Oreochromis niloticus: one gene and its partner. The protein of the gene in region 1 interacts with the protein of each later gene in a pairwise test. Links are inferred from orthologs where the notes say so. Each region holds a gene or a part of one and is shown in the gene's direction. Other genes may lie near its edges.

Region 1 (8,333 bases):
AAAAATTTTATCCCATTATTTGTCTTTTAAAACATTTCTTAAAGAAAAGCTTGTGAAAGTTTCATGCATTTTAAAGTTACTCTGTGCTTAGATCGGTTGTGATATGCAGACTCTATGCACTATATCAGATATTACACAATGTGCTTGTGTAATACATTACAAAGAACATCAACACACACTGTCATAGTAGGAAGTACCATAAAAAAAATACATCCTGATGGTGTACTGTTGACTTTCTTTGAAAAAAGTAATCCCTACATTGTTTACTTAATTCCCTACAGTACTGGGGCAGCTGGCAAAAATAGCAACGATAAAATCAGCTGATTACAAAAGAGAAGGAGGACACAGGAAGGAAAAGCAGGAAGGACTTTAAACAACAAAAAGCAGTACAAACATGGCAAGAAGAAAGTACACTCTTTTAATTCTTTACATACCAGGACACAATAAAAGTCATCTGGACCTTGGTGGGTTTAAATAATTTAACTTTAAACTCATCGTTATCATTATTTAAACACAACATCAAATACACAACAATACATGGCATATTACACTGTGTCTTTATTCATTTGACCCTTGTGTGGTGTTCATGTTTTGGTTACTCAGCCCATGTTTGTGGGTCTGGGTGAATCCAGTGCATTTGGGGGGTTTTGAATCTATGCAGCCATAAAGATTTGTGTAGAAATACTTAACAGATGTTCACTTTTTCCCAGTTCCAGGAAATTCATCAGCAATAGTGGTTGCTCATCAGTCTGGGAAGGGTTATGAAAGCTATTACCAGAGAATTTGAAGTTCATCTTTTTACTGTGAGAAAGCTTATTGACAAGTTCAAGACAGCTGCCAATATTCCCAGGAGTGGACATCCCACCCAGCCCACCAGGGCTGACTGCAATCTATGGAAAAATCTCAAGAGCTAGCTTGTTAAATGTTAAAGGTCAGGAGAGTAAATTTAGAAAAAGACTGCACAAATATGGGTTGTTTGGAAAGTTTGCAAGGTTTGCAAAGCCTCTTCTTGCACAGCTTAGCATTGTTGCATTTGTACAAATCACAAGACTTTGGGAACAATATCCTTCAGACAGACACGGCCACAGTGGAGGTGTTTGGCCATAATGTGCATCGCCACATTTGGACGAATAAAATCAAACACAGCATATCAAGACAAACACCTCCTAACAACTGCTACGCATGGTGGTGGAGGAGAGATGTTTTCTGTACACTAAAGAATTCTAGAGTCAGATGTGAGACCATCTGTCCAACAAAACCTAAAACCTGGCCCAAACTGGGTCCTACAACAGGACAATGATGCCAAGCACACAAGCAAATCTATCACAGAATTGCTGAAGAAGAAAAGAAAGAAAAGGTGTTGCAACGACCCAAAGTCCAGACATCAACCTGACCTAAATGCTGTGGTGGGACCTTAAGAGAGCTGTGCATAAATGAATGCCTAAAAAACTTGATGAAATGAAATCACATTATAAAGAAGAATGGGTCTAGATTTCTCCACAATAATGTAAGAGACTGATAAAGTCTTACAGAAAAACATTATTCCAAGTTATTCCTGCCAAAAGGTGGTTCAAGCTATATAATCAAGGGTTGTACTTAGTTTTTCTCACACTGCTTCTGCTTGACAGAGTTTTTGTTACATAAATGATTTCATTCTGTAATATGTCATGTGCTATTGTTCATGTGAGGTTGAACTTCTAAGGACTGGATAATTTATTATATCCTGACATTTAAATACAAGAACTGAAAGAGGGTTTACTTTTTTTTAACCATGACTGTATCTTGGATAGAAACAGCACATTTTCTTAGCAGCAACAGAATCAGTCGATGAATTGAATTGGTCTGAAAGTTTCTCCGTAGTTTCAAGCTAGCACTTGCTGTACACACAAAAAGGCTGTTCCAAGATTCAACATTTGTGGCACTAAAGCCACCAGTACTCCAGCCCTGATCAAGTTATTGTCAAATAAGCACATATAAACTATATTCAAGAATAACAAGTACTGACTATGACTCCCTGTATCCCTGGCACATCCTCCTGAGAGAACAAGTGCTGCTGCAGCCATTCAAAATCCTCATAGGTCCGGTCCACATGGTACTCCCCTGTACCAGAGAGCTGGAACAGAAAGGAAAGACAACCAACTGCTTTTGGAAAATCATAGTTCAAATAAATAGGCTGACAAATTCTATGGTTCTTGTGTCATTCGCCTGGATCTAACCAGATGACAGTTTAATGAATCTCACCTTTTGAGATACGATGATAAAGGTGAGAGTGTCCCCGTCTTTCAACACCTCTGTAACTTTGATGCTGTCGTCATGGACACTCAGAACAGATGCCGCTTCTTTCACTTCTTCCTGCAATTAAAAAAACAAAGCGGTCAAAAGCAGTACAGCACAGCAGAAGCAGTCAAATGGCTTCAGTACAGGCTGAGATTAAAGTCACATTCATGCGCAAACTAAATTTAAAGGGAGAACAAAACATAGTTCAGGACACTGTACTCATGAATGTCTGCGAGGAGTAAAAGCCTGTCACATGACACTCAGAGGCTTACAAATCCTGTAAAATCTACAGGCGTACTCACCATCATTGTCAGCTTTGCAAACTAGCAGTCTATCTTTTATCTGCCTTTGTGGTTTGTCCTTTTCGCGTGTTAAAAGTACATAAAACTGGAAAGAGCTTTTGCCTGTTGCCTTTTAGTCTGCTCGAGCTCCAAGTGTTGAGAATGCACAGGATATCCTTTGGGTCAAAGTGCACAATGGTCCCATGAGAAATGGAGTAAAACGGTGCCAAATCTAAAGTGCTGGCGCAAGGAAAAAGATGAGTAAATAGTGTGTTAGTGAGTAACTCTGGACCTTCGACACACCCACACAGGAAAAGTGGCATAACGGCTCAGTCGGTTATCTAGCAGCCAGCCTTACAACCCCACAGCTGCTGAATTTATAAGTGAGCTCATAAAAGGGGGAAGAATGCAAACAGGTTCAAAGGGTCTGTTTAGGTGATTTTTTTTTTTTACATAATGAATACTAGAAACAGATACTGAGAGAGCATTTTAGACAGAATACTTTATTATCGATAAAAGAAAACATGTTAAAAGGTTACAGTCATTCCAAGTACAGGGCAAAAAAAAACCTTTTAGAAGTAGTACTCTTCTTCATATTCATCTGGATCGCCAAAATAAAAGCTAAATCTCTCCCCCTCAAAACTGTAGGGTTCATAACGACCATCCTCCTCATCCTCTTCCTGGTGAAAGCCCCACTGTCCACCAAAGAGACTGTCATCAAAGTCGTGGAAGACGTCTGAGAAGCTGAAGTGGAAGCTTGTCTGATACTCATCCTCAGGCTTGACTAGGTCCTCATTTTTCAGGAAAGCTTCGTGGCCCACACGGTCATACACCCTCCTTTGCTCCTTGTTTGAGAGGACTGTGTAGGCTAAGGAAAGACAGTTAGAGGGGAAAAGGTCAACTTTGGTGATGGAGGGGTGTGGTTGCAAACAAGCAACCACAACGCCTGGGCACCTGGCAGTCACTGACTCAACTATGAACTAGTCTGTGTACCAAAGTCCTCTAGAGTCAAATGGTAAAGCTAAAGCTGCTCAGACATCAACCTGTGTGAAATGTTAGAGAGTAGCTAAACTAAACTAGCAGCTTAACTTCGTTTTGCAAGAGTCAGCTGGCCTCCAGTTATTTACATCTTTTTTTTTTTTATGTAGTTGACTTCTAAACCTTGAAACACTAATAATGGACCAGAAAAGTTGCTTCTTTAAAAAGCCCCACCCCTGCTGCTCTGTGAAATCCCGTTTAGGCAATGCATTTATCAGATCATCAATGTCAGAGCTTTGCATCCACAACAGGCACTTGCAGAAGAGCAGGTCAAACAGTGACATTGACCGATTAATAATAAACCTCCATAAATCACCAGCTATTCATGGAAGTTATTGCATGCAATTTAATAAGGTACCTTACTGAGCTTATTTGCTTCTTAAAGAGCCTGTTTGATGGGAATAACAAGTACATTTTTGCACTTTTGCCAGGAAGAACAGCGATTTTTTTTAAACAGGGGGAATTTTTTTCTGAAATCACACTTCCATTTATTTTTTAACTACTATTTTTAAACTTTTTTTTGAGTAGTTTTAGTTAACTTAACTCCATATGGTGGCTTTGTTGTACCTCAGCTTCTTCCATAGTGAAGTAATTTTTAGTTTACTATAAAATATTGTACTAATGATAATATTGATAATAGTAATAAAACCGTTCACGTATTTACACTGTAAAATGTAAACGTTTCAGTGTGTCGGAGGAGGCATCCTTTCATCCTTTACCTTCAGCAATCTCCCTGAAGGTCTTCTCAGCATCTGCGCTCTTGTTCTTATCAGGGTGGTACTTCACGGCCAGTTTTCGGAAAGACTTTTTTATCTCGCTGTCCGTTGCTGTTGGCTCAACATGAAGAGTGTCGTAGTAATTTCTGTTTATCTCTTCGGACAAGGCTTCAGATAGACAGAGCAGCAGAAGCATGCAGGGTCGCAGCCAGTAGGAAGCACCTTGCACTGCCATGTCGAGGAGCGCCCCAGCACAGAGAGAGTGAGGAGGAACTCAAAACAAACGTCGTCATGTGCACAACAGTTTATCTCGAAGTGTGGCAGACCTTGTGGTTTAGCGTCTCATTTTCATATCCACACAACGCCGTAAAGCCTCCACGTCAGCACTGTGTTTGTAGTACGAGTACACCAAAAGTAGCAGTTGTTGGTGTATTTACGACAATTTCTGTGGAGCTTACGACAAAAACAGGGGCACGAAAGAAAAAAGTGACCTCGTTTACAGACTTTGCAAGACTCCGTGAATCCAACTTTACGTCGTGCACGAAATTATTTCGTGGTTTTAAAAGTGACCAAATAATGAACACGCTAAGGTGGTGTTCCGCATTTCCACCAATAGAGGGCAGAAAATCCCAATCAGCGAAAAAATAAGGAAGACGCCGGCGCTCTTCTTCGTTGGTATTGAAAGCTGCATGAAGAAAAGTGGTAAACAGCACCAGGGCCTCGAGGAACTGCTAAAAATAACGCAAGTTTTTTTTTGCTTTTGTTAGCAGCGGTGTCTGTTGACTCAGTTAGAGGAAGTTGTTTCTTCGTGGGAGCTTCTCAGCTGTACTTTGGATCCTTCTCTATCCTTCGATTTGGTAAGACTACAGTAGTACCCAGTTAGCTAGATGTTCGCTAGCCATTAGCTACCCATGGTAGACGACGGTTTCGTAGCACCATTTTAGGCTAACCTATTCTGGAATATAATACGACAGAGTATGCATTATTTACTGGTTGAAATCCGTTGCATTTAATTTATTTGATGTTTTGTAGTGTTTTACCAAAGAACCATGTAAACAGAAGCGAGGCTATTTATTGTTTACGACGTGTTGTCACGTGCTAAATATCTGTCCCAACCTTCTCTAAGGTAATCATTTACATGTCCTATTGTCTTTCATGTCGATATTCAAATCTCCCCCTTTAGTTCTATCGCCAGTGTCTCATGCTGGGTTCGTGTTTTTGTCTTGCAGGTAATTAAACGGCAGATTGCAATACTTCGAGTGTGAAGAAACAATTAATGACTACTACTGTGTATGTGAATGTTTACCAGCTCACATTTGCCATTCCCAAACACACATGAGTGCTCCTTTCTCCTTGAGCTGGGCCGAGCGCCATGCCTGACCGGGACAGTTCCTACCTGTCAGGTGGTGGTGGGAGTGGTGGTAGTCTGGGTGAAGAAGGGGGACCCGGGTCTGGTTTGGCAGGGAGTGCGGCAGAGGGCAGAGGAGGTTCGGGAAGTAGTGTTGGAGGAAGCGTCTCTGGCTCTGGGGGTATGGGTGGAGGAGGAGCGCTCGGAAATGGCAACAGCTATGGGAACGGTGGAGGCCAAGGTGCTGGACTGGCCTTGGATGGCGTCTGCAGGGACTTCATACGCAATGTTTGCAAGAGAGGGAAGCGCTGCCGCTTCAGACACCCAGACTTTAACGAGGTGCCAGACTTGGGAGTGCAGAAGAACGAATTCATCTTTTGTCACGATCATCAAAATAAGGAGTGCATGCGCTCCAACTGTCGCTTTGTCCACGGATCCAAAGAGGATGAGGACTATTACAAGAAGACAGGAGAGTTACCTCTCAGACTAAGAGGGAAAGTTGCTGCACGGCTAGGCCTCTCCCCCATGGACCTCCCCCATAGCCGCGGTGAGGTTCCCATCTGTAGAGACTTCCTGAAGGGAGAGTGCCAGAGGGGCAATAAATGTAAATTTCGCCATGTCAAAAAAGACTGTGAATATGAACCAACCAGGGTTGGAGTGAGTGGCATTATGGGGCCAGGTGTCAGTGGCATTGTGAATGCTGGAGGAGGCATGGGTGGAGGAGGAGGTGCTTGCGGAGGAATGCAGGGACTTGTGGGAGGTGGCGCAGGGGGTGGAGGTAATATGATGGGGACCAGCTGCCCCGGCTTGGGTGGTTGCAGAGATCCAGGTATCTCAGGTCTTGGAGGAGTTGGTGGAAGTGGAATGAGTGGGTGTCTGTCCATAAGTTCATCCGGACAGCGACGTTATGACAGGAGCACATGCTCAATGTTTGACCCTCTGGTTGAAAGTAGTCTGTTTGATGCTGGTTCCCTGGAGGCCTCTATGGACCACACCACTCTACAGTTAAAGAGGCGACGGTTGGAGGGGCTGCGTCTGACAGATGGGAGTGGAGGTGGGCACTACGAGTTGGGAGTTCAAGCCACCTTGCCACCTCGTCCTCTGGAGTACAGATTCCTAGAGGAAGAAAATTCCCTGCTAAGGAAGAGAGTGGAAGAATTGAAAAAGCAGGTAGGTATAAGAATGATATTATGACTTCCTGGGAATGGAGTCATGCCACCGATGCAGGACGTAAATGGCTTCAGTCATTTTTATTTATTTTTTTACTGAGATACATGCAAAACAAGCATTGCCAAATTCCAACTAAACAGAAACTTTTTTGAGGTATTTTATGACACATCCTGGAAAGATTAAAGTATTTTCAAAATAACCAGTTCAAAGAAAAGGCCGATCCAAACAGCATCTCAGCGATATATCCAAAAATCCACCAGAATTATTGTCCCATGTTTGTTAGAAGTGTGATTAGGTGTCTGGTGACAGACTTGCATATTAAAATTCCAGCGATCAACAGTTTACATTAACATTACAATAAAAATGTAAATATCAGGTGAAAGGAGTTGGCGACAAAGGAGGACTTTATTTCATGTAGTTACAATTAAGCAAACTTTGCTGATCTAAACAAAGAATCATCCAGGAACCTATTTATTTGTTGCTTCTTCCTTTTGGAGGATGCTAATGACACATTTTTGTGTTGCTGGGCTCTTTTTCAACATTTAAATCACATCATATCAGATGGGATTTAAATGTTGGAAAAGAACCCAGGAACACACTGTTAAAATGGTTGATGTTATTAGTAAGAACTGAGATCATCTGATGTCCAGAAGCACAGAATTTAGACTGCTGTAAATGCTCTGCCTATTGGCCAGAATAGTGGACTTGAAGGGGAATGAGTTACTGAAGAGTTAATATGAAGTGACGGCTGTGCAGGAGTAAATGGGGAAAAATTTGTTTCCCCTTTAGTCACCTGACAAAAAGGCCCACTGGATGTTTTGGGGGTAAAAGGAAAAGACACTGTAACATCATGAGACACACAAACACTCAGATTCTGCAGTTTTTTGCCTTCTCTTTCTGTAAAACTATGATTAGTTAACATGAAGTGTAAGACTACTTGTAAATGATTTCCTTTAAACCTTTGCGTATTTCAAATATTTAATGTCTCTGTGTTTCCTGTCATGAACTTTCTGCCTGTTTATACTAAGCTCTTTCTTATGTGTTTTTCAGGTTTCCAATCTCATTGCCACCAATGAGGTTCTTCTGGAGCAGAACGCCCAGTTCCGAAGCCAGGCCAAAGTGATGACACTGTCTTCAACTCCTGCACCCACTGAGCAGAATCTGGCGCCCCCCGTAGGGTCCGTGAGTTCCTACAACCATAGCATCGCCCAGACTCACACCACCTTGAGCAGTGCTCCGTTACAAGCTCGGCCAGTCACCCAGCAAGACCTCGTAGCTCCCGCTGGTGCCCCTGCAGCCCCCCCAACCAATGCAGCCCCACCCACAGCTCCTCCGCCACACCTCAATCCTGAGATAACCCCCCTCTCAGCCGCCCTCGCACAGACCATTGCCCAGGGAATGGCACCCCCTGTTTCTATGGCGCCAGTGGCAGTATCTGTGGCACCTGTGGCAGTGTCCATGACTCAGCCAATTCCCGGGATCACGATGAGTCACGCCACCACC
Region 2 (7,818 bases), on another chromosome or scaffold:
CTTAAGCCTGACCAAAATGTGAAATCTTGTATTTGGAATACCAGCGTCCAAATGTTTGGCACACTTCTTCTTTAAAGTAATAAGGCATGTGGAAATTTCCATTTCCATAGCATTTTATAGCAATAAAATTCTCCGTGCACATCAAAAAAAACCTGTAGTAACATGATATTTTTAGGTTTGTTGGATGAATCGATGTCGTTGTGCATAACACATTGTGCATTAACTGCAAGGGTAGTAAAGTATGTCTGTTTCAGGACAGAAATTGTTTAAAATGTTGTCTGCAGTTCTAATTGCCTAAAGCACAAGGCCTCCTGTAATGCTAAGAGTTTGTAGTATAACATTTTTCTTAAACCTGATCTATTGTGATGAGACAAATGATCACTGTAGTCGTATAATTGTCATGTTTGTAACAATTTCAGCAGTTTTGGTACTAATCAATTTTTGCAAATTATATAACAATTGACAGATTGCAGTTCAAAAATATAGTTTTAGAGTAAAAATTACAGAATTACATAATTTTTTAAACCACACAAACATATAACCAAGTTAATCAATATCTGGAAATATAGCAATATGAAAATAGCATAACTCCTGCTGTAACCATGGCTGGATAAGAGCCAAAGCCATGCCAAGACTGTTTTGTTTGGTGGGTGGATCTCTGAATTTGAAGCTGTAGTGAACTACTGTTTTGTTTTTAATCAGTCTTAACGACTCCGTCTCATGTTGTTGTTTTGTTAAACATTTGTTGCACAATTATTTGTCTGTCTTGTTTTAAAGTTTAATTTATTGGTGAAAAGCTGGTTCAGAGTGCAGTAAATTGGATGTGGTTATACAAGTGCCTGGTGTGAGGACCTAATGTGTGGCCAGCATCTATTTACTGATTTTTTTTATTTTTTATTTTTTTAATTTATATCATCTGATATGTAATCAGTTTCATCCTGTATGTCAGTGACATCTCTAAGTTGCACTTGTTGCCTAAGAATAATTTTTGAGCAGTAAATGTCTGTTTTATATGAGCTCCCACCGAACTGCATGTTAACTCTCAATAATACTTATATCTACAGCTGTGAAAAGAAAATGACCTGTAATAACTTGGTTATTCTTTTTTTTTCTTTTTTTTCTATGTTGGTATGAGATTTAATACTGGCTACTTTGACAAGAGAGTGATCTTGAATAAAAGCAGAGTGGACACAGGGTTATCATGTAGCTGCTTTACACTGGAAGAGACCTGGCGAGTTCTTATTACGACCATTTATTGCTATAGGTGAAGGTAACACACTTTTTCTTAAAATTTAAAACTGCTGTATAAATGAAGAAGTCATTGTGATGGTTCTGTACATATACAAGGTTACACCTTTTTATCTGATATGTTTCTCTTTTCTGTATATTTGAGACAATTTTCTTTGGGTTTGCCAATAAATTCATATGTTCCTCTATTTTTGCTACGTGGTGGTTTGTCACAAACGGCAGTAATGCAGAAATGTGAGACTAACAATAATAATGGGTAACTGTCAACTGGGGATATTTTCACATGATTTATAAAAACCTAGTTCCAAACAAACAGAATCACATGAACCCAGATTTTATTCACAGTAGAACAAAGAAAACACATTTGTTAGAAAAAGAGGGGATGTTACATAATGGCACTCTCCAAACTTTTTGGACACGTCTTGTTACCATCAAATTCAAAATATTTTTCTTGTTATGGTACATGGTGGTTCAGTTTAAATGTGATGTTTTGTGTCTTTGACTGTGGATGAAATGTGGCTTTGAGATTTGCAGATCACTGCATACCGTTTTTGTTTACATTTTACAAAGCGTCCCAGTTTTAAGATTTTAAAAGGATAAGTTCAAAATTGTAGTTGTGTAACAACTGCAGTAATCATTCCTCTGGCATCTGAGTGCTTCTTTGGGGGCAATTGAATTGACTCTGAATTTTGAATGGATGTTGGTACCAGATGGGCTGGTCTGAGTATTTCAGAAACTGGTGATCTACTGGGATTTTCCAAAACAACCATATTTAGGATTTACAGAGAATGGTCCAAAAAAGAGAAAATATCCTGTGATCTCTGTTCTTTATGTGAAAATGCCTTGTTGATGGCCAGACTGCTTGGAGCTGATAGGAAGGCAACAATAACTCCAATAACCACTCATTACAACAAAGGTATGCAGAAGAGCATCTCTGAAGGCACAAGTTTGGGCTGCTGGTTGTGGTGTAAGGGTGTGGGAGATACTTTCTTGTCAGACTTTGGGCCCCTAGAGTGTCAGATTACATCTAACCTGAGTATTGTTGCTGACTGCATCCATCCACGTATGCACAAGTTAAACCCACCAGTAGGATACCAAAGCTCAAATCATCTCAGGCTCGTTCCTTGAACGTGACAGAGTTCACTGCACTCAAATGGCCTCCACAGTCACCATATGTCAAACCAATAGAGTACCTTTGGGATGTTGTGGAACAGGAAGTTTTCATCATGGATGTATCACATTTTCATCAATTGTATGACTTTATGATGTCATACAATTCCTATCATGTCAATATGGGCCAAAATCTTTGAGGAATATTTCCAGCACCTTGTTGAATCTGTGCCACTAATACTTAAAGCAGCTCTGAAGGCAGAAAGGGATCCAACCCAGTACTAGCAAGGTGCACCTAATAAAGTGGCCTGTGAATGCATTTGTCTATGACTTATATAAAAATTGACACAGGGATAAACTGGGAAGTCAATACATGGGTGAAATGGGCGTGAAATATCTGGACGAAAAAATATATAAGTGCAAATATCTTTTGCACAAAGATTCAAAATAACTTTTATTTGGTAATTTGCATGACCCCAACATTGCACATGCTGAGCTAACAACACAAAATATTCTCAGATTCTATACAAAAAGTTTCCATCTGCATCAAAGAAATCATTCCCAACTTGGACTGCTGGAGAGGGCTTTTCCATTTTCATAAGCTCTTCAAGTTCTTCCTCTGTCAACACCTGTCCATCCCAACTCTCTTCATCCTCCTCTGTAAGCTCACTCTCATTAGTGCTGCGCTCTGTTGTTTCTGTCACTGTGGCATCTTCACTAATACCAGCTGCAATGTGTGTGGGCTGAACAGTAACAGGGACAGGACTCTTAGCTAGGGAACGTGAGCCATGACCTTGAATCACCTGAGTCTGATTAGCCACAGGGATCAAAGCACCTTCTGTGCTCCCAGGTGGGAGTATGGCTTGTGAGTTCCTTTCGGGCAGTTTCAACCTGTCCTGCTGTGTCTTAGCACCTGAAGGCAGCACCTGCTGGCTCATTTTAGCCATTACTTTTGCATTCTGCTTGGCTTTTCTTTCAGGAGAGGAGATGAATTTGCTTCTCAGGACTCTCAGGATCACATCATGGCTGACAGAGAAGCCTTCAGCCAGACGCTCTACTGTCCACTCGTCTGGCTGATTTTGCTTCAGATATCTGAAAATTGAGATTTCATATTAGGCTTAATTTAAAACACTTCTTAGTTTACCATCTGGACAAACTTAACCCTCATCCTCACCTGATCTGCTCAATGGCATCCCAGGTTAACCTCCTCTCTGGAGCTCCTGATGGTGTCATCTGCCTCCTTAATATGTGATACTTCACAGTCTTCTGTCTTTTTCTCTCTTCCCTGAAACAAATCCCCAGAATATTTAATATATCTTGTCATAAAGACACCATATATTTATTATTTAACATCGTTTTACACTGGAGAAATGTGTGAAAAGTCCTACTGAATCTTACTGAATTAAAGCTTGCAGTTTGTCCTCCACGTCCTCCAGCTCGAGTTCTCCATTAGATGTCTCATCGCTGTATCCTGGTCTGCTTGATCCTTTGTCTGCCTGCGCAGGGCCCTGTCCCATCCGTGCCTTGCTGGCCCCTCTGCTTGCAAATCGGCAGTTGCTAGCACTCACTGAGGGAATCAGAGATGAAGCACCAAACTTGGAGAGGAGGGAGAGTATCTGCACAGACCTGGCCATGCCAATAAACGATGTGTCGTCCTTTTTTCTCTTTCGTTTTTCTTTTCTTGTTTTTTAGGGAGTCACTTAGGTGTCATGATAACAAAAACTTATTTTACTATAAATTAAACATAACCTTGCTGCTCACGCACTCATGGTACCACTCGTAGAAGTACTTCCGCAAACACTGGGCTCATAGCATAAAATCGGCGCTCTACTGCCAACTAGCGCTACGGAGGTAACATTATTACGTGTCCCTGTGCTGAACAAAGGTGGTTACCTCGACCATAACACTACTTAAATTGCACGCGTTGCAGGTTTAACGGTACTGATGCGAGAATAATTTCCACTGATAACATAATCGAATAGCAGTTAACATAAATAATACAAGTCAGGAGAAGTCCGCTAAAATAAGAAAACTCAAACTAAATGGCGACATCTGCCGAGGGGACACTGCAACGCTGCCTCGCCCCCCTGTTCAAGTGTCACGCAGCTGCGCACCTCTCTCCCAGTCGCCGTTGTTTCATTTGCGCCATTTTGTCCGCTCACTTTGTTGATTGGGCTTTAGCAAGCTGTACTGGAGCCAATCAGAGGGAAACCGGACAGCGAAGATACGGTAAGGAAGCCCCGATTGAAGGCATTGGTAGTTGTCAGCACGGATTGGTTTGTCATGGACCAACCAAATTACTAACCCTGCTTAATGCAAAAAACTCAAATTGCAGTTTGATTTCGACCGCTGCGTCCCAAGACCTACAAATAGCTTCATGTTTCTAGCGTTGGCCACCGCGAGGAAACATGATCCCCGCTTGGTCCACAAGCCTTAGCTAGCGTTAGCTTCTTCGCTAAAATATCGTTTCTCGAACAAAGAGAGTGGGAATAAAGCCACCGTTCGACCGTCAGCAAACACTGCCAGGTACATTATAATGAGCTGTAATAAACAAGCTGCCCACAAGAAAATATCCACGTTCGGAGTTGACGACACAAATAGTATCCTTATGCGCTTTCTAGAATTTACCACGCTTTTAGCTAGCGGACTGGCGCTAGCCGTGTTAGCTTCCCCAGTAAAATACCCGCTAAATAAAATTCCCCTTTGAAGGAGTCCAGCAGCTGACACAGCTGTGTCCTCCTGGGGGGATCATGTTTCAGCTGAAATTCGTAGACTTCACATTTGACACAATGCGACACAAGTCGGTGTGAGGAAGCACTATAAGGTCCTCTTTAAATATTGAGACCAATGAATTGAAAACACGTAGATATCGGTTAAAAAGACGGGGGTTTTTTTGTCGTCGTAAAAAAAAAAAAGATCATTTGTTTACATATAAAATGCACTGTAAACCATAGAAATCCAATATTGGCTCATTTGTATGTTTTGTCTTTGCCTCATCAGGTTTTTCACGGTAAAAAGCCATGGAGCAGTACACCACTGCCACCACTACTACTGGAGAGCAGATTGTTGTTCAGACAGCTAATGGACAGATCCAGCAGCAGGTGAGCTTAGGGTCGACAATTTTATTCCTTTTTTAATTAATTAATTATTTTTTTTAAAATTACCCTACCACCAGATATGAACTAATATGTAGTAAGATTATGAATACCAGAGGGTCAAAATAAAATAAAGTTTTAGGGATTCCAGTTGGATCATTGGATCTCAAATCATGGTGTCATTTCTGATCAGTCCTCCCAATTTGCCCTAAAAGTTTATGGTCCAGGGATTACCTGTGTGTATAAATATAAGTCGTGATACCTGTGATCTAAGTATTATTGAGAGTGATATCAACTATTTATTAAGATATAAATTTTTTTGAAAAATGTCCCATCAACCCACTTTCAGCATGTTTTTTTTTTTTTTTTTTTCACGCTTTGAAATCCGAGGCAATGTTTGAACATGGATATCTTTAACACTATTAAAGATAAAAGTGAAATTCTTTACTAAACTCTCGATTCATTAAACTGAACCAGCATCTGTAAATTGGGAGAGAGAAATTGGCTAGATCAGATATGAGAAAAATTAAAAGCAGTCCTGCAAAGTCTAATATTTGAGTAAAGATTAATAAAAAAAAATTCACATTGTAAAAGACAACTAGTGACAATTTCTTAACGATATATAGCTGTACTTCACAATAATGAAAAATAACATGTATAATAATTTTTAACATGAAATCCTCGGTCACAAACATGAAGAAGATGCTATTTTCATTCAAGTTTCATGCTGGATTGAGAAAACATGACACACATTTATACCACAAAAATATTAATAATCTAAATAGAACAGATCTTTTGTAATTACTCTACCTATAACCAAGAAAATAATTGTTTTAAAATATGCAAACTTTTTAACTTTTCAGGTCAAGTTTTTAAGGTAATTATGTTCAAACTTTGCTTGAGTTTTCAGTGTGCAGATTTTTTCTGCCTAAAAGGCAGAAAACTGGGTTTACTGGCCTTTTAAAATAAACAAATCTAGAAATATTTCATATATGAAGCTAACACTTCAAAGCAGGCATTATATATATGTCCAAGCTTCAGACCATATAATTTTTATGCAAATCAGAAATGGTTGACTATACATAGTTTTTTTTGTTTTTTTTAAAAAAAAAAAAGATTATTTGAGATGCAGTAATCCAGTTCCAATTTATTTTCTTGGTACTTTGTTGTTGAGTCTGTATGTATGAGTCTGTATCCTGCCCTGCCTGCAGACACAAGGCACAGTGACGGCTGTGCAGCTGCAAACAGAGGCGCCAGTGGTGACGGCCTCAGGCCAGCAGGTGCAGACACTCCAGGTAGTGGTGTCACCGCCGCCCTGTGTCAGTGTCATGACTGTTTCACAGCCTACCGGTTTGCATGCCATAGCCAGGGCTGTTTGTATTTTTATTTTTCCAGGACCCATCTGTGCTGTTTGGTTCATCATTTCCCTCCCAAGCATGTCTTGCAACTGCACGTTCCTCAGCACAGTGTTTTGTGTGTCAGCCTCCAGTTATTGCTTTTGTTCTCATGGCTGTCTAAACTGAGTTGTGCTTGTCTCTTGCTATTAAAAGCAAGTTTAGAAAGTCAGACGTTCTTGTTCTCAAGTGCCGATGGCTGTGGAGAAAAATATGCAGAATATACAACAGAACATCTTTCTGAGGTCTGCATGGATCCACATCCATTACTGGCTGCCACTGTTCATCATAGTCTGATATTTTTCTTACTGTTGTGCTGAATAATGTCAGCAGGTACTGTTGCCCTTGCAATTTTTTTTCCTGTCATGCTGCTGCTGCTGCTGCTGCTGCCACAGACCATAATTTGTACGCTGTGGTCACTTTATGGATGTAAGATGAAACATCAGTACTTGCCAAGTTGAACATGTAAATGCAAATTAATTTTACCAACATCTTGACCAGAAAGGTACAGTAAGCAAATTCAGTTCTTGTAAGCTCTTGTTTCAGTAGCAGTATGGCTGTAAATACAAGACCTAAATTCTACATACAGAAGTTTTGTATTTTTTGTAGCCTAAGCTCATGAGAAAAATGATTAAACATAAATTAGATACATTGGGTCCAGAAACAATCTATGCTATGTAACAGGATGCTTTCATGTTTGTATTTTAGGAAACAAAAAACGTGAGATCAACAAGTGCTTTTATCCACAGTGTAGAACCCTGGATGTTTCTCATGTCATACCACTTGCATGCAGCTCTGCAAGTCACAAGAGACATTGAGACGAACACTGTCAGTGCTGCTGTAATAGCTGTCTGAATCTCCCTGTAGGTCCAGGGACAGCCTCTGATGGTTCAGGTGAGCGGTGGACAGCTCATCACATCGTCAGGGCAACCCATTATGGTGCAGGCCATGTCCGGGAGTCAGGGTCAAAC

What was found.
Region 2: the proteins of zc3h10 (region 1) and nfyal interact in binary tests that used the Homo sapiens proteins (3 or more experiments, as listed by UniProt). The two-hybrid records come from large-scale screens. The link is inferred for Oreochromis niloticus from reciprocal best matches to the Homo sapiens genes ZC3H10 and NFYA.

The regions. Positions count from the first base shown.
Region 1 is NC_031970.2:23,961,345-23,969,677, forward strand, and holds the start of zc3h10 (zinc finger CCCH domain-containing protein 10), read left to right. Parts: upstream 1-4,983; 5' UTR 4,984-5,169; intron 5,170-5,541; 5' UTR 5,542-5,684; coding exon 5,685-6,830; intron 6,831-7,880; coding exon 7,881-8,333. Other genes in the region: si:dkey-28n18.9 (sorting nexin-6), read right to left, coding at 2,006-2,113, 2,242-2,352, 2,580-2,585; dnaJ homolog subfamily B member 9, read right to left, coding at 3,131-3,426, 4,316-4,547. UniProt on the Homo sapiens protein: Specific regulator of miRNA biogenesis. Binds, via the C3H1-type zinc finger domains, to the binding motif 5'-GCAGCGC-3' on microRNA pri-MIR143 and negatively regulates the processing to mature microRNA.
Region 2 is NC_031984.2:21,203,054-21,210,871, reverse strand, and holds the start of nfyal (nuclear transcription factor Y, alpha, like), read left to right. Parts: upstream 1-4,439; 5' UTR 4,440-4,587; intron 4,588-4,593; exon of another isoform or gene 4,594-4,884; intron 4,885-5,358; 5' UTR 5,359-5,378; coding exon 5,379-5,459; intron 5,460-6,664; coding exon 6,665-6,751; intron 6,752-7,714; coding exon 7,715-7,818. Other genes in the region: ngrn (neugrin), read right to left, coding at 2,874-3,450, 3,533-3,643, 3,757-3,992. UniProt on the Homo sapiens protein: Component of the sequence-specific heterotrimeric transcription factor (NF-Y) which specifically recognizes a 5'-CCAAT-3' box motif found in the promoters of its target genes.